Linked DNA regions of Arabidopsis thaliana. The protein of the gene in region 1 purifies or fractionates together with the protein of each later gene. This does not show direct contact. Each region holds a gene or a part of one and is shown in the gene's direction. Other genes may lie near its edges.

Region 1 (8,256 bases):
ATATTAGAGAAGAAAGAAACGCAACTTTGGCGAAGATGGCTTCATCATAAAACCAAGAAATATGATCTTCAAGTAAGTACTTACAGTTGAGTAGCAAGTAAAAAAGATGAATAGCTTCTTTCCGTACATGTAAGCCACCTTCTTTTCTTAAAAGTAATGAAATGCTTTCAAACACTTCCTTGGAGACAAAACTGGCCAATGAAAAGAATTTAACGTTATATGAATGCAGATGTTCATATGAACAGACAAAGAAAACGGTTTTGAGTGCTTACCTTTCTCTAGCAGTATAAGCATCGGTGCTCATCACGATTATGTTCATTATCGACAATGCTTCCTGTTTCACATCCTGTTCGGTTCTTTTACTAGCAATTTGATTCATCAATTTAAACAGAGAATGCCAGTTTGCATCCCAACTAATAAGGGATCATGAAAAAAAAAATCATTACAATGATGATTTATGGTTAATGTAAGAATTTAGAGTAAAGAAATATTGGAGAAAGTTAGAGAACTAATCCCAGATAGAGAGAGTAGATACCTGGCTTCAAATCTCTTTTCATCACCACATATATGTTCCAACAGCACATGTAGTACACGCAGAGATCTATGAACAAGAACGGCCTGCACAACAGATGAATTAATCAAGTCACAAAAAAAGAGGAGAAATATAAAAAACATCCAGAAAGCTACAACTTGCAGATAAAGCTTTGAATCTCAATCCGACTTACAGTTTCCGCTTTACAAAGATCAAGTAGTGGTTCAACCAAGGTCTTCAAATTTACAAACCCATAGCTGATCTTCAGAAGACATAGGCGGTTCAATTAGATAGTCTGACCAATAACTTATACATCGACAAGTATAGTGTTTGAACTAAAAGCCACACCTTTGTTACTGCAGAGTATAATTGATACACTTTCTCAGATTCTAAGGCTTTAGAAGATTGTCTATCTGACGAGGTTTTGGCTTCCTGTTTGTTAAGTTCTTGAGGAGGCGTACTGATTTTCATAAAACTAAAGAGAATCTGGAGATCTGTTGAACAAGCCAGTAGCAACTCTGAGATTAGATTTTTCCTCGGATCTTGATAATTTGAGGTGCGCCAGATGTCTAGCAGTTTCTTTGAAAGGTCAGAATGATTGGCCACATCAGCCTGAACACCAGTGGTCTTGAAGCCTGACTTAAGCCAAAGCAAAAAATAATGAATAGACAACCAAGAAATTTTGAACAAAATAAAACTTTCAAAAGCGTCAAACTAATTATTGCCAATATCAACATTCACGTACTTCTTTTATCATCTAACGCCATCCTAGAGTCGTTTTCTCGATGATTTACTGAAGAAGTTGCGACATCTGGTTCCCTGTTTCACAAGACTTCTTAATTAGACCACAGTTGGTGATTTGCAACAGATAAGGAAAGTGCACGTAAGCTAATGAACGGTAAATTCAAATTCTCCAAACAGGAGATAAAAAGTGTGGGTAACCGCTTGCACCACAGTTACTCAACATTACAAAGAGTTTCACCTTCCAGCATTGCGATTCACTAATTAAATTTGGTAAAATTGATAAGAATGCAAAATCCTGCAAATGGTTGAACCCTATCATGATATATTCTACAAAACTAGATACATACTTAAAGGCTGCTAACTAAGAATTAGATCCAAGTACATCAAAAACAATCTAAAGATCCAATTTAGATGCGTCATTTCGCCTAACAAGAAGAGAACAACATTCACTCACAAGTCTATCCTCTTAGAAGCATGAACCGTAGAACATTGCCCTCTATTATCATCAGCACACAAGTTTCTAGACTCTGTTTCTTTGCTTTTCCCCTTCTTAAGCTGAGAACATTCTTGCTCCTGGAACAATCAAAGATAATTTCAACACTATATATACATGAAAATGGAAACTCCAATGAACTAAAAAACTCAAAGATATGAATATACCACATCCAGCAATTGCTTCGAGACACGTTCCAGCTCCTTCTGTTTAATCAAATACCACAAAGAACAATATGAGAAACTACATCTTTGTGATCACAGAGAACGCAATAATAAAACGAAACCCTAACCTTTAAGCGATCAATTTCGAGATCTTTCTCACTATCACAGCGACGATTCGAAGTAGTCGGAGAGATAGGTTTAGCAGCAGTAACAACAGTAGAGTTAGAGTAATCCATTAACGCGTCATTGAAACCGCTTACTACTCTTTGAGAGAGTTCTCTCGGCGGAGAATAGCTTAAGAAAGGATCAGGAACTTGAATTTGTTTCCGTTGTTGTCCCGCTGAGGATTGTAACTGCATAGGGTGAGATAAAGACGATGAAATCTTCGTCGATGGCGGAGGAGCCGGTAGAAACGTTGGAAGATACGGAGGAGGTAGGGGGCGATACATATCGGCTTTTTTCAGGGTGGTTTCGATTGAATCGATGGCGAGGAGAAATTCGTCGTTAAATTCTTCATCATTTCCACTCATTCTCTTTCTCTCTATCGCTCGAATGACTGATAGCGAGTGAGTGGGAAAAGAGGCGAAATCGAAATACCCATTTAGTGAGCAGTACGCCTGACACGAATTCGGATATCCGGAACAATTGTGATATTTGTTATTCGATTGGTTTTAACGGAATATCTGATTTTGTGATTTACTTTAATTCAAAAAAATTTGGATATCTGAATTTTTATGTGATATTTTCGAATATCCATTTTGATACTGACATATTGTACATGTAAATATTAAACAAGACTGTAAACTATATAACAATATCAGATATTCAAATTTTTCATTTAACATGCTTTCAAAATAAATTTTAAATAGCAAACATAACCGTTGTTGTTATCACCGGTCATCAAGTTGTTGTTATCACCGGTTATCAAAATGTTATCTAATTAATTCCAAAACATAACCTAATAGATTAAATTGTCATTGATCAAAACATAACATAAAAGAAAAATGAGCAAATAAACATCTTAACATGAAAACATAAGGTAACAACAATATACAAACTATTTATGATATCTATATTTACGGATCCATCGTAAATAATCATCTTTCGCTTTAAAGTTTTTGATGGAGCAGTCGGTAAAACTTAGGATCCAAAAAACTTTTTGTACTATTACTATTATTTATGGTTAAAATTCTCTTTTTCTTATTAACTTGATTTCTTTATGTGTTTTATATTATTTTTATAAATAATTGAAAATCATTTTTAAAATTTGCAATATTTTATTAATATTGTAAAATACCGTCATAATAAAAATTATTATGGTAAACCATAAATAAGATTATTTAGTAATCAAATGACATTGATCTAATATTTATATTTTTCTTTTCTGAAAAAAACTTTCTGGTTCGTTTCTGTTCCGGTTTTCAAAACTCTGTCCGGTCATGTGGAATGCTAAATTACAAATCCACCTTATTATAATTTAAATTACATAAATACCCCTTAAAACTCACATATTTATACTTTGGTCCCGGTAGTTCTCTTTTCTTTTTAAATTAAAGGATTATCTGCTTAGCAAAAAAGAAGAAGAGAAAAGGCAATGTTTTGAAACCCGACCCGGACGATGAACCGGACTACCTTCTGGGTCACCGGGTCACCGGGTCAACCGGGTTGGACCACGGGTTAATTAGTTAAAATTTATTTAATAAATTTAATATTAATAGAAAATTTAGAGTATTTTATAATAAAAAAATTTGTAGTATTTATAAATATAAAACAAAAATAATCATATCATATTTAATCAAATATAAAATTATATTATATTTAACAAAATATAAAATCATTTACACCCAAATATATATATATATATATAGAAAAAATCAAACAATAATAATAAAGTGGTTAAAAATTTGAAATCCAATAAATGTCTAACACCGTAACAAATATATTAGGAGATCATCAATGACATAAATAAATTAATAAAACATCGTGAATTAAAACAACTAATCTCGGTTGTCTCTCTCACCATTCGATTCAATTTTAAGGCGGTATTGTAAAGTCTTCAACAAAATCTAAAACATCAAATGAATTTAAGAACTGAAAAAACTTCTAAAAATAATTGAATAAAGTCTAAAATCCCATATTTTATTGTAAAATCAAGAGAACTTTTTAAAACCCACACCCGGCCGGTTCAACCGGTTCACCGGGTCACGGGTTAATTGCGAGTTTTTGTGGGTTTTTTCGGTTTTGAACTTGTTGGGTTTTAGCACTAAACCCAAACCGGAAAAGTGTTCGGGTTACGGGTTAACCGGTCGGACCGGACGGTTCGGGTCGGGCGTGAAAACACTGAGAAAAGGGTTTTTTAGGATTCTTTAAACGCAGAGCTGAGCTGAGTTACATAAGATCGAGAGAATTCGCAAACTCGTTTCTTCATTCGTCTTCGTCTTTCGCCATGGCTGCTCTACAATACTTGGAATCTCTGAAAAATACGCATCCAGAGCTCGGCGAATGGTACAATTCCCTTGCAGATCTGTATCAGAAAAAGCTCTGGCATCAACTCACCCTTAAGCTCGAACAGTTCATCGCTCTCGCTGTCTTTCAGGTACTTTTGCTTCTCCTCCGTAATACTAATTGGTTTCAATATCTATCTAGGTTTAGTAGTGGTCCTTGTGGATTTTAGGGTTCATAGATCTCGACAAATATCGTAGAATCTGTGTTTTTACTTCCGAATAACACGAGTTAGAGATCCGTTTGGAAGATGATAGGGTTTTCTCGGATTAAGTTCTTCGAAGAAAGTTAGGTTTTAGGGTTTATAGATCAATTTTGATTGCTTCCAAGTTTTTGTGTCTGATCTTAACCTGTGTCATTGTTATAATATAATTTTTTTTCATTTCAGGCTGGTGATGCTTTGATTCAGTTCTATCACAATTTCATCACTGACTTTGAGACGAAGATCAATCTTCTGAAGCTTGCGCATTTTGCTGTGGTGGTCTCTCGACAGTACTCTGAGAAAGAAGCTGCAGTTAGCTATCTTGAAAGCGTGATTGAGAAACTTAGAGCTACTAAAGAGCCTAGGATTACTGAACCAATCATTTATATTGAAACACAAAAAGCTTTATTCAAGCTTGAGCAAGGTGATCAGAAGGAGTGCAAAAAAATCTTGGACGATGGAAAGAGCTCTCTTGATAGTATGACTGACATTGATCCATCAGTCTATGCCAACTTCTATTGGGTGTCTTCTCAGTACCATAAGTGCCGTCAAGAATTTTCTGATTTCTACAAAAGTGCTCTGCTTTATCTTGCATACACGTCTGTGGAGGACCTTTCAGAATCGTTTAAGCTGGTATGCCCCTGTAATATTATGTACCTTGTTCTTATATTTTGTTCTTATGTTAAGTTTCCTGTTAGCGATAGTGGATAAGAGTATTCAGAAATTTGATGAAATTTAGAGGAAACTGAAGAAAAAAGTTGCGTACTAGTTAGCTTCCCTAGAGTCACCGATCAAATTTTGCTAATGTCAGATCATATCTGTGTCTTTCAGGATTTGGCTTTCGATTTGTCACTATCAGCTCTACTTGGGGAGAACATCTATAACTTTGGGGAACTGTTAGCCCATCCCATTGTAAGTTTTCCTTCATCCTCGACATAAACTACTGTTATATTTTCTTGTGTAGATAAAAGGCTTCTTGTTGATCTTTAATTGCTTGGATTTACGATAGATACTGTTTGTGAGTTGAGACGGCTTCTAACTCTCATGTTATAGTTTTGCTTAGAATTGTAGATGGTTCTCTTACATGTAGCATTTCTCTGATGACAGTTGAAAAGTCTCCTTGGAACAAATGTGGAATGGCTCTACCACATTCTACAGGCATTCAACCATGGTGATTTAGTTCAGTATCAAGAACTATGCCGTGTGCACAACGCATCCTTGATTGCTCAACCAGCACTTGTTGAGAACGAGAAGAAGCTTTTGGAAAAGATCAACATTCTCTGCCTTATCGAGATCATCTTCAGGTAAACTTTTCTCTAGGCAATTGTACCTCACGCCGTTTCAATCAAAGAAATAAAATCATGTGCTAATACATTTGATTTTAAACTCTACATCAGCCGACCCGCTGAAGATAGAACCATTCCTTTGAGCATCATCGCTGAGCGTACTAAACTTTCCATTGAAGATGTTGAGCACCTTCTCATGAAGAGCCTTTCTGTAAGTATTAGTATCTCCTTGCATTTTTCTCTCTTGTGTTCTTTTAGTACCCAAAAAACTCTGCAGCTTCCGGGTTAAAATCTGTTGTGGTGACCAAGGAAAGAGTTTGTCTGAGTGACCAACATAATGATACTGAACTACCTGTCATCTGATTAAGAACAACATAGTAAACATCACCATACGCATTGTATCTCTAGGTTTATGTATTTGCAGTTGTCGTCTTATTGCGTAATTTTGTTATAGAACTCAAATGATCTTGACTGGTTTTGTTCCTGACTTAGACATAGAATGATTGTGTATGCTTCTGTAGAATCTAAAGTGGAAAATGAATGATACAGGTGCATTTGATCGAGGGCATCATAGACCAAGTGAACGGAACAATTTATGTCTCATGGGCGCAACCGAGAGTACTAGGGATTCCACAGATCAAGGCTTTGAGGGATCAATTAGACAGTTGGGTTGACAAAGTTCACACCACTTTACTATCTGTTGAAGCCGAGACACCAGATCTTGTTGCAGCATAAGAGAAAAGAAAACCTTCTTCCTCCTTTTGAAGCTACTGAATGTAAAACACCATCTTCTCTGGGATTAGATTCAAGTTTTTTATTTCAGTCGTAGAAGAAATTACAATTGCTTTTTAATCTTTTGACTTCCATTTCAAGATGTCCGAAATTTCAGTTCTACATTTAGACTATTTTCATACATTTTTTCTTAAAACATGTCCTTGACAATCATTCATTATTCACATAACCATAACAAGTCAATCAGTTTATAGAAAAAGTCATCTGATAGGATCTAAACGTGGACTCACTCACTCTGAATAGTTGATTTGAGCCTAAAATTTGGGGATTCTCGCGGCTTCTGGCACTGGTCTCCGATTACGTCACTTCCCGATGATTTCATCTTGGACTCATAGCGCGTATACCAAGATTCAATTCCCAACAATCTCACTCCTTTCAAGGCGTTTCCGATCATTGTTACGTTGCACAGAACATTGTCTCTATGCACTCCTCATAACCCTGAAACACGTCACTACCGTTGGTATATTCTTTCTCCGACGCAATGGCTTTATCCTTATCGCTTCTCTTCCTCCTATGCCTGCTCATGGAAGCTATATTGCTTTAGGTTCAAAAGATTTACGTTTTTAGATGGCGTTTATGATTCCGGTGTGACTTCGAGAGTGTTAACCACTGTGGAGATGTGAATTCTAAGAAGTGAGAGTATATATGCGTGTGTCGTTGATGATGTATTGTACTACTAAATTTGTGCTCTAAACCATAACAGCTAGACATAATTCTAAATTTCATGTTATGGTAGGAAGATTGTTGATTTCATTGATCTAAAAGACTAAAAGTGAAAATGTATTATACTTTTGGTTTTGTGCATTGAGGGTCATCAGTTTAAGAAGCAAATGTGGACAAAAATTCTGCCATTCCATATCTCTTCATTATTAAAACTTTTCTAATTTTTTTATAACTAATATTTCAGAGTATGAAAATGAAATTCAAATTATTGTACACATTTAGGAATTCATATAAATAAATCAAATTACTAACGATTATAAAAAAAAAATCAATACAGAGTCGAATTTTTGAATGAATTCAAATATAATTGTCAATTAAAAAATAACTGTACTATCTCTAGATTTATTTATTCAACAGAACTTATAATTATAAGAATCCCGAAAGTAATTTTTGTGATCAAAATGGCAGAAACCACATGGCCATGAGTCGTCTTGTCTGTACGATGATTCACTCTTTTTCTTATAAAATTTTGATTCTACATTATTGTCCCTTATTTTTTTGGCCTTTTGAATAATGAAGGTGAATTTATAAAAATACGCAAATCTTTAATGTTCAACATACATATATAGATTCAACTTGCCGGAACAAATGTGTCGACCTTTACATTAAGAAAGAATTAATTAATTTTGACTTATCATATAGAATAAACCAATAATAATTATTATTTAATTTAGTCTATTTCATAACGTATACAATACATTCTTTTCTTATTTTTTTTCCTTTAGAAAGACCAATTCATAGCTACTGCCAAATGCTGACTACTATTCAACCTTCATTGCTATGATATGACTATCGATAATATGATAATAGAATTAACG
Region 2 (8,860 bases), 9.2 Mb from region 1:
AAGAGATTTTTTTGTTTGTGTTCAGTCTTCAAAGTATCAAAGCCAGTAACAATCAATTATAGAGAGTTTCGCTTTTTCCTATGGGGAAATTGCCAAAATCACATGTCCATAAAATATCTTCTAAATATGATTTTTATTGATTATTTAATATTTTTGAAAGAATAAATAAAAATATTTAACTCTTCTTCAATCTTAAACCATTCTTTTCGTAAAAAATACGTAAAGATAGATCAATCATAAATGTCCTAGGAATAAGATACGTATTAGGTAATGTTTTTCTTTTGAAATTAAAATAAAAGTATTTATATATATATTTTTGATGCACTTTTTGATCAAAAATCTCTCTAATATTTACTAATAACATATGAGTTTTTATAAATTCTATCTCAACCAAAATGTTATATTCTTAAAAATTTACAAATCGTTAATTTGCATTAAATACTTGAATTAACTATTTTCTTTATTTCTTTTTTAGTCCCTACAAAATTTATCTAAAAATATTTTATTTTAAATTTAAATCTTTAATTAATTTTTATATTTATTAAATTACATTCAATTAATTGCTAATTTCCTAAAATCTATATATCTACATTAATAATAAATATATGATTTTTCTTTCATTTTTATTTGTTCTTATATCTAATTTATTTTTATTTGATATATATAATACATATAGTTAAAAATATATTAGTTTTTTCTGCATATGAGGTAATTCAAAATTTTAAAAACACACATATACTACTCAATCGATGAAGAAAAAAAATAAGTAGAAAAAATCCCACATTACTTTAAAAAATTGAGTAATAGTTCAGAGTCATACATGGCTTTCAAAGCAAAAACTATAGCCTACATAACAAGGTTCAACACAACCTGATTACAAAGAATTCTATAAAACAAAGATGGGCCTATTTCTTTGATCACACTGTGTCTTAGTAAAAACTAAGAGTCTCAAAGTCTGTAATCTGAAAAATCAAAGGAAGAAAAATTCAGGGAAACGAAACAAACACAAATGAGAAATCAAATAAATTAGCGAACCAAATTACAAAAACCTAAAACAGGAGGGAAAGCACTTACTCTTGTTATAAGAAGTAGACTTGACAAAAATAATCTTAAAAGGAAAAGATGATAACACTGAAGAGTTTGGAACAACTTTCTGACGGGAGATGGATTAGGTCGAGGGAGATTATACTATTAACAGAGGAAAAAAACCAAAAAAAACTCCATTTATTTTTAATTTGTTCATACCTGCGTTATTTAATTTGGCCGTTTAATACCTAAGTTAATTTTTATGTTCATTAAAAACCTTCATTTTTTTAAATTTTGGCAAAATCAGACATGCGAGTTAACGGGCGTTAACAATGGTAACGGAATCGCTAACCGCAGTTAAAACTTAACCATATAATGTTTACTATTTATATACAATTTGTTTTCTAATAGTTATGATCATATTATCTTAGTCCCAGTGGTTTTGAGAGAGATTATCATCCTCATCAGTTCGAGATCGATTCTCATCTCCAACAAATTTTTTGATTTTTTTTTTTAACAAAAGGCAAAATCTCAGTAATCCGAGTTACGATTTTGAATTTGATTCTGAGACTTTCTTTTGTTTAGCACCACGTTTGTTAGATCTGCTTCAATTCGATTTTGAGAACGAGCTAAATTAGATTCCTTCATCTCTTCAATTCATATTAAGGTTTTCAATTTCTAGATCGATTGATATGAATAAGTCAGCAAAGATTGCATATTCCCAGTTTTTGCTGATATTTTGCGTTGAAAAATCCAGACTTTGTTTTTCATTGTTAGTAACGTTGATAGCTTATAGAAAGATTATGTTACCATTAATTGCATCTGTTGATAACAAATAAGATCGATTATCACAAATCTATGTTGTATTAATTGGTCTAACATTTGGGACTTTTGGTTGGTGATTGATTTTGGTGCAATATCCTTTGGAGAAAGAAGTGAAGCAACACACAAGTGCAAAGCCTGTTGAAGTGAAAGAGATGGCTGACTTCGATTTTGCCTTTTTGTTAAAAAAAAAAGAAAAAAAATCAAAAAAAATTTTGGAGATGATAATCGATTTTGAATCGATGATGATGGTAATCTCTCTCATAACCACTCGACTAAAATAATATGTTCATAATTATTAGAAAACAAATTGTATATAAATAGTAAACATTATATGGTTAAGTTTTAACTACAGTTAGCGATTTCGTTACCACTGTTAACGCCCGTTAACTCGGATGTCTGATTTTGCTAAAATTAAAAAAAAAAAAAAGGTTTTCAATAAACATAAAAATTAACTTAAATATTAAACAGGTAAATTAAATAACGCATGTATTAAACGGACAAATTAAAAATAAATGAAGTATTTTTTGTATTTTTTCCCTCTTAACAAATTAGGTTAACAATTCTCCCGTTCTCACGCATCTTTACCTAATCTTCCGGATATAAAAATACTATTACTTTGTTTTGATCTTACAAAAAGGCCCAATGTGTGAAATATTAGTTAATGGGCCTTAGGGATGGGCTTCTCAACCTAAAATGAAAAGCACGAGAGAGGATGAAAGAAATCGGAGAAGGCAGTAGGATCTTCCACTTGCCGCTCTTTGAAAATCACTCGCCGTGTCTCTCTAAGCTTCTTCTTCACTGTGAAAACCTCAGATCGCAAATATGCACGCACCGGTACTCGTTCTGAGTGAGTATCTCCATCTTCCTCCAGATCTCATTTCCTCTAAATCGATATTAGTTTTTTGGTAACGAGATTAACTCCTTTTGTGAAAATGGTTTAGGCGATTCGTTGAAGCGTGAATCTGGAAGTAAGGTTCATCATGGTAATATCCAAGCTTCCAAGGTAAATTAATCCTTTTCTATGGCTCTTTTTCTCTGTGATGCTTGTTGCTTCTCTCCTCTGGTTTCAGATCATCGTTGTTTTTGTGGTACAGGCTGTTGCTGATATCATTCGTACAACATTGGGTCCTCGTTCTATGTTGAAGATGCTTCTTGATGCTGGTGGAGGTCTTTTTCTAAACACTTCCTCTTTTTTTTAGGCTTTTCATATCTCTGTATGTGGGTAGTAGATCTCTGTAGTGAGGGAATTAGGTTTAGTGTTTTTAGCTTTGGAAATGTTTTTCTTATGTACTCGTTCTTTGTTGAAGCTATTGTTCTTCAGTTTCGGTGTTAGTTTTATATAAACCCTAAATCAATATTTGGGTTCTGTTTGTCTTGTTTTTTTTTTTTTTCTGTCTACCTTTAATTTTTCTTAATCTGTGTGTTATCATCATATCTTACCCCTCTTTGTTTCTTGGATCTTTACAGGGATTGTTGTTACTAATGATGGGAATGCTATTCTTCGTGAGCTAGATGTCGCTCATCCTGCAGCTAAGGTTTTACTTCTGACCTTTCTCTATCTATTGTTCTTGTTAAAATTGTTTTACTTATCCATTTTTGACTCTGGTGATTGCAGTCAATGATTGAGTTGAGCCGTACGCAAGATGAAGAAGTTGGTGATGGGACAACGTCTGTTATTGTTCTAGGTACGAACATTCTTTTTTGCTAACAAATAGTTTGTCAATGGCTTGGTTTGGACCAGTTTTAATGTATTTTTAACTAAAGCACAAACAAATTACTTAAGGATATTATGGGTGCTGCAGTATTCAGTTCAACATCATGATCTCTGTTTATAATCATGGGTTCTTGAAGTCCTCTTTTTGTTTGCTTTTTGCCAACAGCTGGTGAAATGCTTCACGTTGCAGAAGCGTTTCTTGAGAAGAATTACCATCCCACAGTCATATGCCGAGGTATGCTGGCACTATGAATTGCTTATTGTTGTCATGTTACACATGTCGTTTTCATCTTAACGAATGCATTCTTCTCTGCAGCTTACATCAAGGCTCTCGAAGATTCTATTGCTGTTCTTGACAAAATTGCTATGTCAATTGATATCAATGACCGTAAGTCCATTTCTACCTTGTATTTGTTCATTTGGAGTTGACCTTCAGCTACTTTGGTTTCTGAAGTTAGTTTTTCTTTCACGTTTGTACTGATGGAAGAATGTGTGAGTTGCAGGTTCACAAGTGCTAGGATTAGTCAAGAGCTGCATAGGGACAAAGTTCACTAGCCAATTTGGAGATCTTATTGCGGTAAGTACCGTAATTACAGTAGCTTCTTACTTATGCATTACCAGTCCAGGTTTTATTGCTCCTTAATATATATTGGATATGTCTAGACAAGTAGGTATAGATACAGCATACATCTTGAAGTGACTTTTTAAATGTAAGATGAGTAACCATGAAATAACTTGAATTTGATGACTGCTTTCTTCAATTCTTTTGGTGGTTTTCGATTGTTGAAATACTTGTAGTATGAAGTTCTACAAGTTTGATTGTCGTTGGTACTCACATGATTTTATATGACTTTATGTACTGTTTTAGGATTTGGCTATTGATGCCACTACTACTGTTGGTGTTGATCTTGGACAAGGTTTGAGGGAGGTAGACATTAAAAAGTACATCAAGGTTGAGAAAGTTCCTGGTGGTCAGTTCGAGGACTCTGAGGTTCTTAAAGGAGTTATGTTTAACAAAGATGTTGTTGCTCCTGGTAAAATGAAAAGAAAGATTGTCAACCCACGGATTATTCTTCTTGACTGTCCTCTTGAGTACAAGAAAGGTGAAAATCAAACCAATGCTGAGTTGGTTAGAGAAGAGGACTGGGAAGTGTTGTTGAAGTTGGAAGAGGAATATATCGAGAACATTTGCGTTCAAATACTAAAGTTCAAGCCTGATTTGGTTATCACAGAGAAGGGTCTTAGTGACTTGGCCTGTCACTATTTCAGTAAAGCTGGGGTAAGTGCAATCCGAAGGTTGAGAAAAACTGACAACAACAGAATCGCCAAGGCTTGTGGAGCAGTAATTGTGAACAGGCCCGACGAACTGCAGGAGTCTGATATCGGTACTGGGGCTGGCTTGTTTGAGGTCAAGAAAATTGGAGATGATTTCTTTTCTTTCATTGTTGATTGCAAAGAACCCAAAGCCTGTACTGTACTCTTAAGGGGACCAAGTAAAGATTTCATCAATGAAGTGGAAAGAAATTTACAGGTTCGTTGGTGTTATTTACAAATCTGTATTTCTTAATCATTCATAACCTTATATGCCTGAAACATTGTCCCTACAGGATGCCATGTCTGTTGCAAGAAACATTATCAAAAACCCAAAGCTAGTTCCTGGTGGAGGAGCCACAGAGCTAACCGTTTCTGCCACATTAAAACAGAAGAGTGCAACAATTGAAGGCATAGAAAAGGTCGGTTTTGCTTTTATTACATTTTGTTTCCTTGCCTAAAGTTGTGTGATTTTGTGTCAAATCTATATCGAGCCTCTAAAACGAGTATGCTGTTCCCACGGTCGCTGATAAATGTTCTTTTGTTGGTCTGAATCTTATTTAAACAGTGGCCTTATGAAGCAGCTGCCATTGCTTTCGAGGCTATTCCACGTACCCTGGCTCAAAACTGTGGGGTTAACGTGATCCGTACTATGACTGCATTGCAAGGGAAGGTACTGTCCTGTACTAATGAACCCCAACTGCCATCTCTTGCCCGTTGTTTAAGTATATACCAACTCTTTTCTCAATGCTTCAATTGTCGGTTTTGGTGCAGCATGCAAATGGTGAAAACGCATGGACTGGTATTGACGGGAACACTGGTGCAATAGCTGATATGAAAGAGAGCAAGGTAAGGATTAAATCACATAACCTTGGTTGATTCTCACAACATGAAACCAATGTGACTCAGAGAGTTGACTAAAAGCTTTTAACAATTTTCCAGATATGGGATTCGTACAATGTGAAGGCGCAAACTTTCAAGACGGCTATAGAAGCAGCGTGTATGCTTCTAAGGATCGATGATATAGTGAGTGGAATCAAGAAGAAGCAAGCTCCTGGATCTGGACCTTCAAAGCCTACCATTGAGACAGAAGGAGATGCAGACAACGAACAAATTCTTCCCGACTAAGCGAAGGGAGAAACACTTTGGTCTCAGCATAACTCAATCTCTGTTTTCACTTGTTTAATGGTTGCACTCTTTTGGCTATTATCTTCCCTTGACATATCTTTTAATTCTGCAGTTTGACTTGGTGAGATAAGATTTTCGAGGGTGGTTTTTTTTTGTTTGTTTTGGAATATTAGCTTTTTTGAATTTTCGTAGTCACTTTGTTGGTTTTTAGAGTGCTAGTTGTTATTGTCTTTTTGAAATTTCTGGCACTAGAGACTTTTTTAGTTTGTGTCGTTTTTGTTTGAATATCATCAAGTATGTACTTCAACTGGATCTTTAGTTGACCGGTTAGTGTCAAATTGTGTTTTTGTTTGAACACCATTAATTGCATTTCAGACGTACGGATCTGTTATTTAGAGTTTTGGGTTATTATTCAGGTTGACTCGGTCCGAATTTATTTATACGGGTTGGTTTTGTTACTGAAAACCTTTAAACTTCGCTAGTTAAATGAAAATTGAAAGTTTAGTTATGTTGATCTTGATCTAATTTTACAGTAAACTAGAGGAAATACGGGCTACGCCCAAATTTATTTTAAAATTTTATTTCTGTTTTTTGTATTGTTTTTAGTTCATATATTTTTTTTTAAATTTGCTATATCTAAATAGAAAATTAGTTTGAATTACTTATATTTTTATATACTATCTATTTGTGTTATTTAAAATGAAACTGAATCACCTTTTATTTTTATTTTATTTTATTAAAGATGATTGTAATATAAATAGTTTTTCTTAACTCAAAATAAATGGGTTTGTTTTCACAAGACTTTTTTATTTTTTCATTTCTTTGAGGTTTTGTTTTGAATAATTATTGGATTTTCTTTTGTTGGGTTTAGTTCATTAGTTGGAATTATGTATAGTAAACGTATTAAACTCAATGGGTGGATAATTTGTAAAATTTATTTGTAAAAGCTAATTTTGTATTATTAGATTGGTAGCATATTGTTCAATTCTGCATATATACTAATCATTTATTAAATAAAAAAAGTTAATAGTTCTTATTATGTATAAAGATTCGTTAATATTTTCAAAATTAGTTATTTGTAATTAACGTAAATTTGATTTTTTGATTTTTTAATTAAAATAATGAATTACATTACCTTCTTTTTTGTCAACTAATAATTTATATTACCTAAATTTTATAAAAACTGTCATTGAAAAATTGGACTTTGTGATCTCAGAAATAAATTATAAAAATATTAAGTTTCTTTTATTTAGTTTTGTTAGTTTAAACCATTTTAATTGAAATCCAAGAAAAAAATAATATTTTATTTTAAGCATTTAATTTGCTTTTGTTTTTGAAGTAAAAAAATCAACACTTATTTTTTCTAGTAATATTTATTAAAACATTATTTATTTTTTGTTTTCTAAATTTTTTTTTAATAATTTGGTGACATTGCATTTAGAGAGAGTATTTAAAAGAAAATATGATGTGGCATCTCTAAAATGATTTTTGGAATGATGATGAGGATGACTTGAGAAGCCTCAAATTGTTTCTTTTATTAGCAGTAGATAATACTATTTTAATCATATACTATCGTTTTCTTATACATTTTATATGGGAAAAAACTCTAAAAAAACCTCATATATTTTTAATTTGCCCGTTTAATACTTCGGTTATTTAATTTGTCCGAACAATACCTAGGTTTATTTCTTTTCGCTTTAAAATCTTTCGTTTAGTTTTTGTTTGGAAAAATCAGCTTCTCGGGTTAACGACTGTTAACTTCGTTAACGGTGTGTCTAACTGAGGTTAATACTTAACCCCACGTGTTTTATTCGCCCAATATAAAGACACTGTTACCCTTAACGAAAACCCCCAAATCGATTTGTTATTATAAACCCTAGTTCTATTAGCTCTTCTTTACAAGAACTCTTCTTATTTCCAAAAATGATGAGCCAAAGTTCAGGGTCTGATGCGAATTCAATTAGCCGTAGCTGAGTCCTCTTTGCAATTGTGGTAGGGCAACGACAGTTACAAAGTCATGGACAAATGAAAATCCGGGTAGAAAATTTTTCAGATGTGGGACTCATGGCTTCATCAATTGGGCAGATGAGGAGAAGCCATTTGGTTGGCAAAAAGAGAGTTTATTGGAGGCTCGAGATGAGATTCGTCAACTGAAAGAGTCTTTGAGGTCAATGAAAGAATAGTTACCGAGTGGGTCAGGGTCTGCTACTAACGAGGATATGAAGAAGCACAAGGAAGAGAAGAATAAGCTTGAAGAGGAGAAGAAGAAGCTTGAGAAGGAGAAGAAGCAGCTTGAGGAGGAGAAGAAGCAGCTTGAGGAGGAGAAGAAGCAGCTTGAATTTGAAGTTATGGGTGCGAATGAGAGGGAAAAAGTGCTTAGGCAGTTGATTGTGTTGTCTTGGGGATGTTTCACTGTTGTCATTGCAATGTGTCTGGGAATGGGAAAGAAGTAGGCTTTGTAATAGGGAGTTATGGATGCTAGGAAGTTCTTTGCATTGTTTTATGGATGTTCTAATGCTAGTTGTTTTAGAAGTTCTTTGTTGTTTGCTGTGTTGTTGTTGTAAAACTCTTAAATCAATGGTAATATCCTACTTTCATTGAGTCAAAAGAGCCGAAAAATCAGAGTAAGGTCTAGATCCCACCCAAAAAAAATCGGGATCCTACCAATCATACACATCATCCTACATAAATAACATCCTACAAAGTCAATAAGAACACAAAAGAGAACTTAAATCTATCCTATTTCCTCTCAGGTCTCCAAACATCGAAGACCTTATCAGTCCAAGGGGACATAAAAAACACAGGAGGTCTCGGAGATTCATCAGTGACTTTACCACGTCCCTTGCCTTTACCCTT
Region 3 (7,218 bases), on another chromosome or scaffold:
CGCTCAGCTCCTGATAACTTCTTTGCAGAAGATCAAGAATCTCCACCTCTCTGTTTTTGATACCAAATCCATTTATAAAACAAACTTTGAAACAAGATCGATCTGATTAAGAATTTAGGTTAGGATTAGGAATATATCATACCTTGAGTAAGAAGCTACCATTGGACTCTGTGTGGGACAACGAGGACCTTCATCGTATCCTTCACATATAACCTCTCCATTATCATCTGTGTAACAGATGATCCCTTGTATCGGATCTTCAAAAACCTGTTCCAAGAAAAACAATTTCAACATTCATATTTTTACCAAATGGTTGTGTCTGAATTTTCAAGAAAATTATGATCCACTCTAAGGAGAAACAAAAAGAGAGAGATGATCTTACAATGTTCTTGGTGGAGTATCTGATCGGCTGAGGCTGTGAAACTGTGGCTTTCTTGACTTTAACATGAACTTGACTCTGTTGAAGCATCAAAGTCTTTGCTCTTACTGTCTTTGGAACAAAACATGGTGTTTTAAGAGGAAGATAAAGTTTAGTTGAATATGCCATAGCTTTTGTGTTTCTTTCTTTCTTCAAGAAGAAACTTTGATCTCTTCTTTTTGGACAACTCGTTTGGTTTATAGTTCTCAGAGAAGAAAATTATAAATTCCGATGATTGATTGAATCTGAGTTTAATTAAGATTTTTTTTTAAGTCAATTATATATAGACGCAAGGTGAAGATAAAATAATAGCCAATAAGAGTGGCAATCTCATTAACAAGTTTGGTTGTCTTTTTCGTGGGGTTTGGTTAGTTCTTCTAATGGTTTCGTTTTTCTTCTTACGTTTGATTTTTGATGAACGTCAATGTGAAATCGTTGAATATATCTACACATATACATGTGTATGTCTAGTCAGGTGTATTTTTATTACATAAATTTTTATAAAACTATTATTGGGATTTCTTACTCCGTTAATGTTTAAAAAATATTACTAAGAAAACTACTTAGATTCTGTAACACTTATATTTGAGAAACAAAATGAGTTTTATAACCCGATTCTTTGACAAAATAATATGAGACAAAAACAAATAATTCCCCAACTGAAATAGTTTATAGACTTAAGACATTTTACCTTCCTTCTGACCTAAAAAGGTAAAAAAGACATTTGACCTTCCATCGAAACAATTAATCTGTCATTACATTAATTTCAAAAACTTGCGTGCTATTAGTTGCACTTGCATTCAACCAATTTTTTCGTTATGTTGAGATAATATTAATATTAGAGTAAAAGAAAAACTAAACATCGAGCAAATTAGTTGTTACAGTGCTTATCTGCCGTCCAATGACGAATTAACTCCTACTTAATTAAACCGTGGCACGTGTCGATATATCAAGCGTCATGATAAGCTTTTAGGAGCATTTTTAATTGCAAAATGACAATAATTGGTGTTATATTATTGCTATGATTTAGACAAGAGACTAATTGTAGGCTAAACATGGAGACATCGTCGTACAGTTTCTCGGGAAAAAAGCTGTCTCTTCTTAACCACAATAAGGTACGTTCGAGTCAGAGGCTCCGAGCAATGATATTTATTTCGCTGGTTTGATTACTAAAGAAATGCAAAACAATACTATAATAACAACGAATATTCCTCCACCAAATTAATTAAACTCTTGCGAATCTTTATTTTGTTTTGTTAAAAGAATAATACAACAGATTTATACAAGTTTCTGAGTCATCAGCAACTTTGGAATCCTTATAATAGTTTATGAACATTTTTAACCAAAAATACATATAAATGGTGGAACCATAGATTAGAAGGGTTGGTCACAAAATGTTGGAGCAAAACTTCCAAAATCGCTTTTAACAATTTTTAAAAAGACTTCCAAAATCCATTTTTTTCTGTCGGTTAAACCAAATTTAAATTATAATTTCGATAGAGAATGTTTAGATCGATCACCCGAGTCGATAGTATATAAATTGTAGTACATTGAATGAAAAACTATAATCAAATATTTTGTGGTCTCTGTTTCAGGAGGTTGGGAGGTTAAATACGTCACCAAAGTTTTTATTAATTTTCTAGATCGTCGTCCACTTATATCATCGCGGAGTGGTGGCCTAACTTATCAATATCGTACGATCTCCAAATTTAATATAAGCAAGTTTGATTATAAAATTTGATACAGAAATTATTTAACATTATCTTCATCATCACTTATTTTATAATTAACAAATACTAGAAACATACGTCTACGAGTTAAAGTAATGGGTTTAGGCTAAAAGATTTGGTCAAGAAGTATACAGTAGCCTAATTGAAGGTCCGTTTAATGGCGTATGCTTCTCATATTAGACTTAAGTTAAGGCCCGTTTGATAAGATATTTAGGCCCATTAACAGCCCAAGTGTTAATCAAAGTCTAACTTGTTACTCAAGAGTGCTTGTCTACGGGAGCTAAAAAGGAACTGGGAAGAGTTTGTTTCTTCGATTCGTAGATCAATTCTCAGCTGGTAAAGTTTTTTTGCATCCATACAAGTTCTTAGTTACTTGAATCGTTTCCTATTTTTTTCATTCGATCTGTAATGTTTTTAGGGTTTAATAACTTTTGTGCAGACATTGAGGTTTATCTCAGATCGAAATCGAGAAGAAGATGTTTCTCACTAGGTACAAAATTGAGCATTTCTTCCTTCGATTTCTTCAGAATCGTGTATCACCGTTTCTGGGAAAACTTCGAATCCAACGATTATGGTGCTTGTATTGATCAAGTTTTTTTTTTTTTTTTTTTTTGTTCTTAAGGACTGAGTATGACAGAGGAGTCAATACATTTTCTCCTGAAGGTCGTCTCTTTCAGGTTGAGTATGCCATTGAAGCTATCAAGGTAATTTATAGATTACTCTAGCTGCTAATAGCTTCTCTAGAATCTAGTAAAGTTGGGATGTTTCTTTGTTTGCTTAAACGAATTTGGTTACTTAATCCATTATTGTGTTAGTGTGCTTTGTTGGGGAGTAGACAATAGATTGGGCATGCCCTTTTTGTATCCATTGATGGGTTTGTTATGGTTTGATTGCAGCTTGGTTCTACTGCTATTGGTGTAAAGACGAAAGAGGGAGTTGTTCTTGCAGTCGAGAAGCGTATTACTTCGCCTTTACTGGTATAGTTTCTCTCCTTGTATCTTCTCCGTGTGACTCCACTGTTTTATTAACATTTGTTATGTTTAGCAGTTTCCATCTGGTTGATTTGTTAGTATCTAAGAAGTTTTCTTTGCTTTACTATTTCCGTGCCTTTATGATTTTGGTACACGCACATTATGCTACAAATTTAGTCTTGAATTGGCATGAGTGATAGAATCTGAAAGGTAATATTAGTATGAATTTGTAATACCTTTTTGAGTTTACCCTATGATGGTAACTACTTTCTCAGTCTCTTTTTTATCTTTTAAGTAGGAGCCGAGTAGTGTTGAGAAGATTATGGAAATTGATGACCATATAGGTTGTGCTATGAGTGGTCTGATTGCTGACGCGCGAACACTTGTTGAGCATGCACGAGTAGAGACCCAGGTGAGATCTCAGTTTCTGACTTTCTGTTTCTCATGGATTTGTTTTTACATCAAAAGTTCTTTCTGTTACCAACTGGTTTTATTATGTTGAGCAGAACCACAGGTTCTCGTATGGTGAGCCAATGACTGTAGAATCTACAACACAAGCTTTGTGTGATCTTGCTTTACGGTTTGGTGAAGGAGAGGAAGAGTCAATGGTAGTAATCGCTCTATTACCTTTATAGCATAGGAAGAGTCAATGGTAGTAATCGCTCTATTACCTTTATAGCATAGGCAATGTTTAGTGGATTTCTCTTCTTTCTGCTTGGAAATTATGATCAATTATCAGAGATAAACCCTTAGATTGGGGTTTTAAATTTTTGTTGTGAATTAATAGATATAACTCTTTAGGAACCACCACTATAACAATCCCTAATCTTCCATAATGTTTTAGCAAATATTCTTTGGTTCTTTACTGTCTCCTTTTTATATGAATGTACTTATGCTCGGTCTCACAAACTTTTTGCAGTCTCGTCCATTTGGAGTATCCCTTCTCATTGCTGGGCATGATGAAAATGGACCGAGCCTGTAAGTTGTTATTCATTTCGCTTATATCATTTTCCAACTGTGTAGATGATCTCAAATTGGTAAACAACAAATGTTAAACAACTCAATCCTGTATAGGTACTACACAGATCCATCGGGAACATTCTGGCAATGCAATGCAAAGGCAATTGGGTCTGGCTCAGAAGGAGCTGATAGTTCTCTCCAAGAGCAATTCAACAAGGTACTAATAACGTGATTGTTTCACTGTCCCAAGCGCATTACAGAATCTATTTCTTTTGAAGTTTCCTTGAACTCCAATTTCACAACTCTTACAGGATATAACTCTTCAAGAAGCTGAAACAATAGCTGTATCTATCCTAAAGCAAGTAATGGAAGAAAAGGTATTCAATTGATTACAAGTTTGTTTATTAAAAATCCCATTAAATCCCTCTCCGGTTTAGCCCTTTTTGATACTCTCTACTTTTCTGGTTTAGGTGACTCCAAACAATGTCGACATTGCCAAAGTCGCACCAGCTTATCACCTCTACACTCCTCAGGAGGTTGAAGCCGTCATCAGTCGTCTATGAAGAAATAAACCGCCATTCTCTTCCTGTTATCTTACCTTGTCTGTTCGGTAATTTATCAGGCTTCTGTCTGCTTCCGGTTCTCTAAACCAAAAATTAGTTTCGTTTAATCAGATAATGGATTTTATCGAGTTGAGTTTTATTGAGCTTTCTATCTACATTTTTTTGTCGTTTTCAACAAGAAGTTAAAACTAATAAATATCTGTCCAAAAGAAAAAATCAGAACTTGAAAGTTGAAATCTATTATGTACATATCATCATTGTACGTCGGAAAAAAAATCTCAATTATAAGATAATTATATATTTATTATCTATATAACCACCCTCACTGAATTTAACCCAAACCCCATTAAGAGAAGCGCTGATCGTGAAAACCTATCTTTAGCTAAATCTTTAAAAAAATAAAATATATTTCTTTGAGGTTACAAAAGAATATATTGTATTTTTTAAACATATCTTTAGCTAAATCTATAGAAAAAATAATAATAATTGAAAACTTAAGAAAACAAATAATAAGTGATTAAGTTTACAGAGGGGGCATTCCCATAACCGCCTTTGGAATCCAATTATCATCCCCTCGGAGAAAATACTTAACCGTAAACCTTGCAGCCTCATCATCAGACGAAATGGGCTTATACCCAGCCCATTTAACTCTCTTGGATAGATCCGACCCAGGACCTGAATTCTTGTACTCTCTATAGAATATAGTACGTGGAGGCGGGTCATAAGTCGAATTCCACGCAATCCACCCAGCGGGATTCACGAACGACCCAATCACCGATTGCATAATAACCGTCTTCGAAAACAATTTCCACGGACGGCCAAGATACGTCGTAGCAGTTACATTTCCGTTGGGAGAGATTGTGCATTGGTGGATCGATATTCCCGTGTTCTGATTGGCCTCTTGTGTACCTTCAGCGGTGATTGTGTTGAACTGATTCGGAAGCGGCTGACGCGGACGGATGCTGCAGCCTTGGAAGACGACTGTGCCAGCTCCGAAGATGAAATCAACTGTTCCGGTGACGTCACAGTTACGATAGTATTGTCGATTTGAGTGAGTATAAAGAGTATCTTGGTAGCCGTCGAATGAACATCGATAGTAGACTGACCGATCGGAATCTGATCGGAATGCTACCGCTTGATGCTTCTCTGGCCCGGCGGTGTTTATGATTCCCATGTCCTTCATCATAAATCCTTTGCCTTCAGTTGCTGCGCGTAACAAGTTAAAAAGTGTTTAAAATGACCATGTTACTTCAAAAAAGCAGAGAGTATAAATAAGAAAGATGAGAGAGGTACCAAACGTGGAGGTATTGAAAGTACGAACCCCGTCGACCATGTTAGTGCTACCGGAAATAATGGTCTTATCCCTGCCGTCGCCGTAGATAAACACATTCCATTTATCCTTTTTCATAAGGACATTCTCCACATACGTACCTGCTTTCACGTATATAACAAACATCGTTTTCCCCTTCTTCGGAACTCTCCAAACCGCTTCATTCACCGTCCTCACATCGCCGGAGCCATCCGCCGCCACCGTAACATGAGGCGTTAAGTTCTTCGCTTGAAGTAACCGCCTCACTCCTGGTCTAACCCAATTTGGAAACGAATTCGAGTTAAGTAGCCGTCTCCCCTGAACCGGGATCCTAGACTTGCTTGGTTTTTTGAGAACCTGCGCGACGATGGCTAAGCTGTTGCTTGTGAACTCTGTGGAATTAACCATGGCGGATTTAAGCTTCTGTGGGATTGGTGAGTTGTAGTTATCTTCATCAAGCGTGTCGCCACACGTCCCGATATCTGTTACGGCGGAGCTAAGCCACGTTATGAGATCGCCGATCGTTGACGAATTCAAATTCTTCTTCCCGCCACTAATTACTTCATCCAAGGAGGAAATAGTATCGTTAACTGAATCAACCGCGAGGTCGAACACATCTGCGCAAACACTAAGCGCCGATTTGAGTCCCTCATCATTAGTCTCTTCCGCGAGTTTCTTCGGTAAACCAACGATGGAATTGAGTTCGTCGAATGTAACTTGTAACGAAAGCCTGAATAAAACCTTCGGATCTGTCGTCGTTTTGGATAATGGAAGCTTCGAGATGCTTGAGATACAAGAAGCAGGGTAATTAGTTACATTACACACAGTTCTGAGGACTGAACTCGGTGTTGGATGAGGTGACTTTCGAAGCCGCGGGGACTGAACTCCGTGTCTTTCGTGTATTGGAAACTTCGCGATGATCGCTAAGCTGTTGCTTGTGAACTTTCTGGAATTGACCATGGCGGATTTAAGCTTTAGTGAGATTGGTGAATTCGCGTACTCTGTTTTGTTCTGGCTGAGTTCATCAAGTGCGTCGAGACACGTGTCGTGATCTGTTACGGCGGCGCTAAGCCAAGTTTGAATCTCGTCGATGGTCGACGACTTCAAAATCTTCTTCCCGTCACCAACTTCTTCCATGGTGGAAATAGTATCGTTGACTATATCAATCGCGTCGTTGAACACATCTCCACAAACACTAAGAGACGATTTGAGTCTCTCATCGTCCGTCTCTTCGGCGAGCTTCTTCGGTAAACCGGCGATCGAATTG

Evidence for each region. The genes of interacting proteins can lie anywhere in the genome.
Region 2: the proteins of AT5G45620 (region 1) and AT5G26360 fractionate together in Arabidopsis thaliana (co-fractionation; one large-scale study listed by BioGRID). This does not show direct contact.
Region 3: the proteins of AT5G45620 (region 1) and PAE2 fractionate together in Arabidopsis thaliana (co-fractionation; one large-scale study listed by BioGRID). This does not show direct contact.

Annotation. Positions count from the first base shown.
Region 1 is NC_003076.8:18,497,211-18,505,466, forward strand, and holds AT5G45620 (Proteasome component (PCI) domain protein), read left to right. Parts: upstream 1-4,275; 5' UTR 4,276-4,379; coding exon 4,380-4,529; intron 4,530-4,823; coding exon 4,824-5,270; intron 5,271-5,468; coding exon 5,469-5,549; intron 5,550-5,744; coding exon 5,745-5,941; intron 5,942-6,034; coding exon 6,035-6,134; coding exon of another isoform or gene 6,135-6,212; exon of another isoform or gene 6,213-6,472; coding exon 6,473-6,658; 3' UTR 6,659-6,934; downstream 6,935-8,256. Other genes in the region: SUV2 (protein dimerization), read right to left, coding at 85-191, 273-413, 536-618, 726-794, 881-1,167, 1,278-1,351, 1,731-1,849, 1,937-1,975 and 1 more. UniProt on the Arabidopsis thaliana protein: Acts as a regulatory subunit of the 26S proteasome which is involved in the ATP-dependent degradation of ubiquitinated proteins.
Region 2 is NC_003076.8:9,252,705-9,261,564, reverse strand, and holds AT5G26360 (TCP-1/cpn60 chaperonin family protein), read left to right. Parts: upstream 1-2,536; 5' UTR 2,537-2,673; coding exon 2,674-2,698; intron 2,699-2,792; coding exon 2,793-2,854; intron 2,855-2,945; coding exon 2,946-3,018; intron 3,019-3,318; coding exon 3,319-3,386; intron 3,387-3,466; coding exon 3,467-3,536; intron 3,537-3,731; coding exon 3,732-3,800; intron 3,801-3,881; coding exon 3,882-3,953; intron 3,954-4,068; coding exon 4,069-4,142; intron 4,143-4,433; coding exon 4,434-5,096; intron 5,097-5,172; coding exon 5,173-5,298; intron 5,299-5,444; coding exon 5,445-5,549; intron 5,550-5,650; coding exon 5,651-5,725; intron 5,726-5,818; coding exon 5,819-6,004; 3' UTR 6,005-6,512; downstream 6,513-8,860. UniProt on the Arabidopsis thaliana protein: Molecular chaperone; assists the folding of proteins upon ATP hydrolysis. Known to play a role, in vitro, in the folding of actin and tubulin.
Region 3 is NC_003074.8:4,761,740-4,768,957, forward strand, and holds PAE2 (20S proteasome alpha subunit E2), read left to right. Parts: upstream 1-2,284; 5' UTR 2,285-2,484; intron 2,485-2,587; 5' UTR 2,588-2,624; coding exon 2,625-2,638; intron 2,639-2,770; coding exon 2,771-2,852; intron 2,853-3,044; coding exon 3,045-3,125; intron 3,126-3,417; coding exon 3,418-3,531; intron 3,532-3,625; coding exon 3,626-3,727; intron 3,728-4,038; coding exon 4,039-4,097; intron 4,098-4,193; coding exon 4,194-4,296; intron 4,297-4,390; coding exon 4,391-4,456; intron 4,457-4,549; coding exon 4,550-4,642; 3' UTR 4,643-4,870; downstream 4,871-7,218. Other genes in the region: AT3G14280 (LL-diaminopimelate aminotransferase), read right to left, coding at 1-50, 143-267, 383-547; ATPMEPCRC (pectinesterase family protein), read right to left, coding at 5,166-5,848, 5,936-7,218. UniProt on the Arabidopsis thaliana protein: The proteasome is a multicatalytic proteinase complex which is characterized by its ability to cleave peptides with Arg, Phe, Tyr, Leu, and Glu adjacent to the leaving group at neutral or slightly basic pH.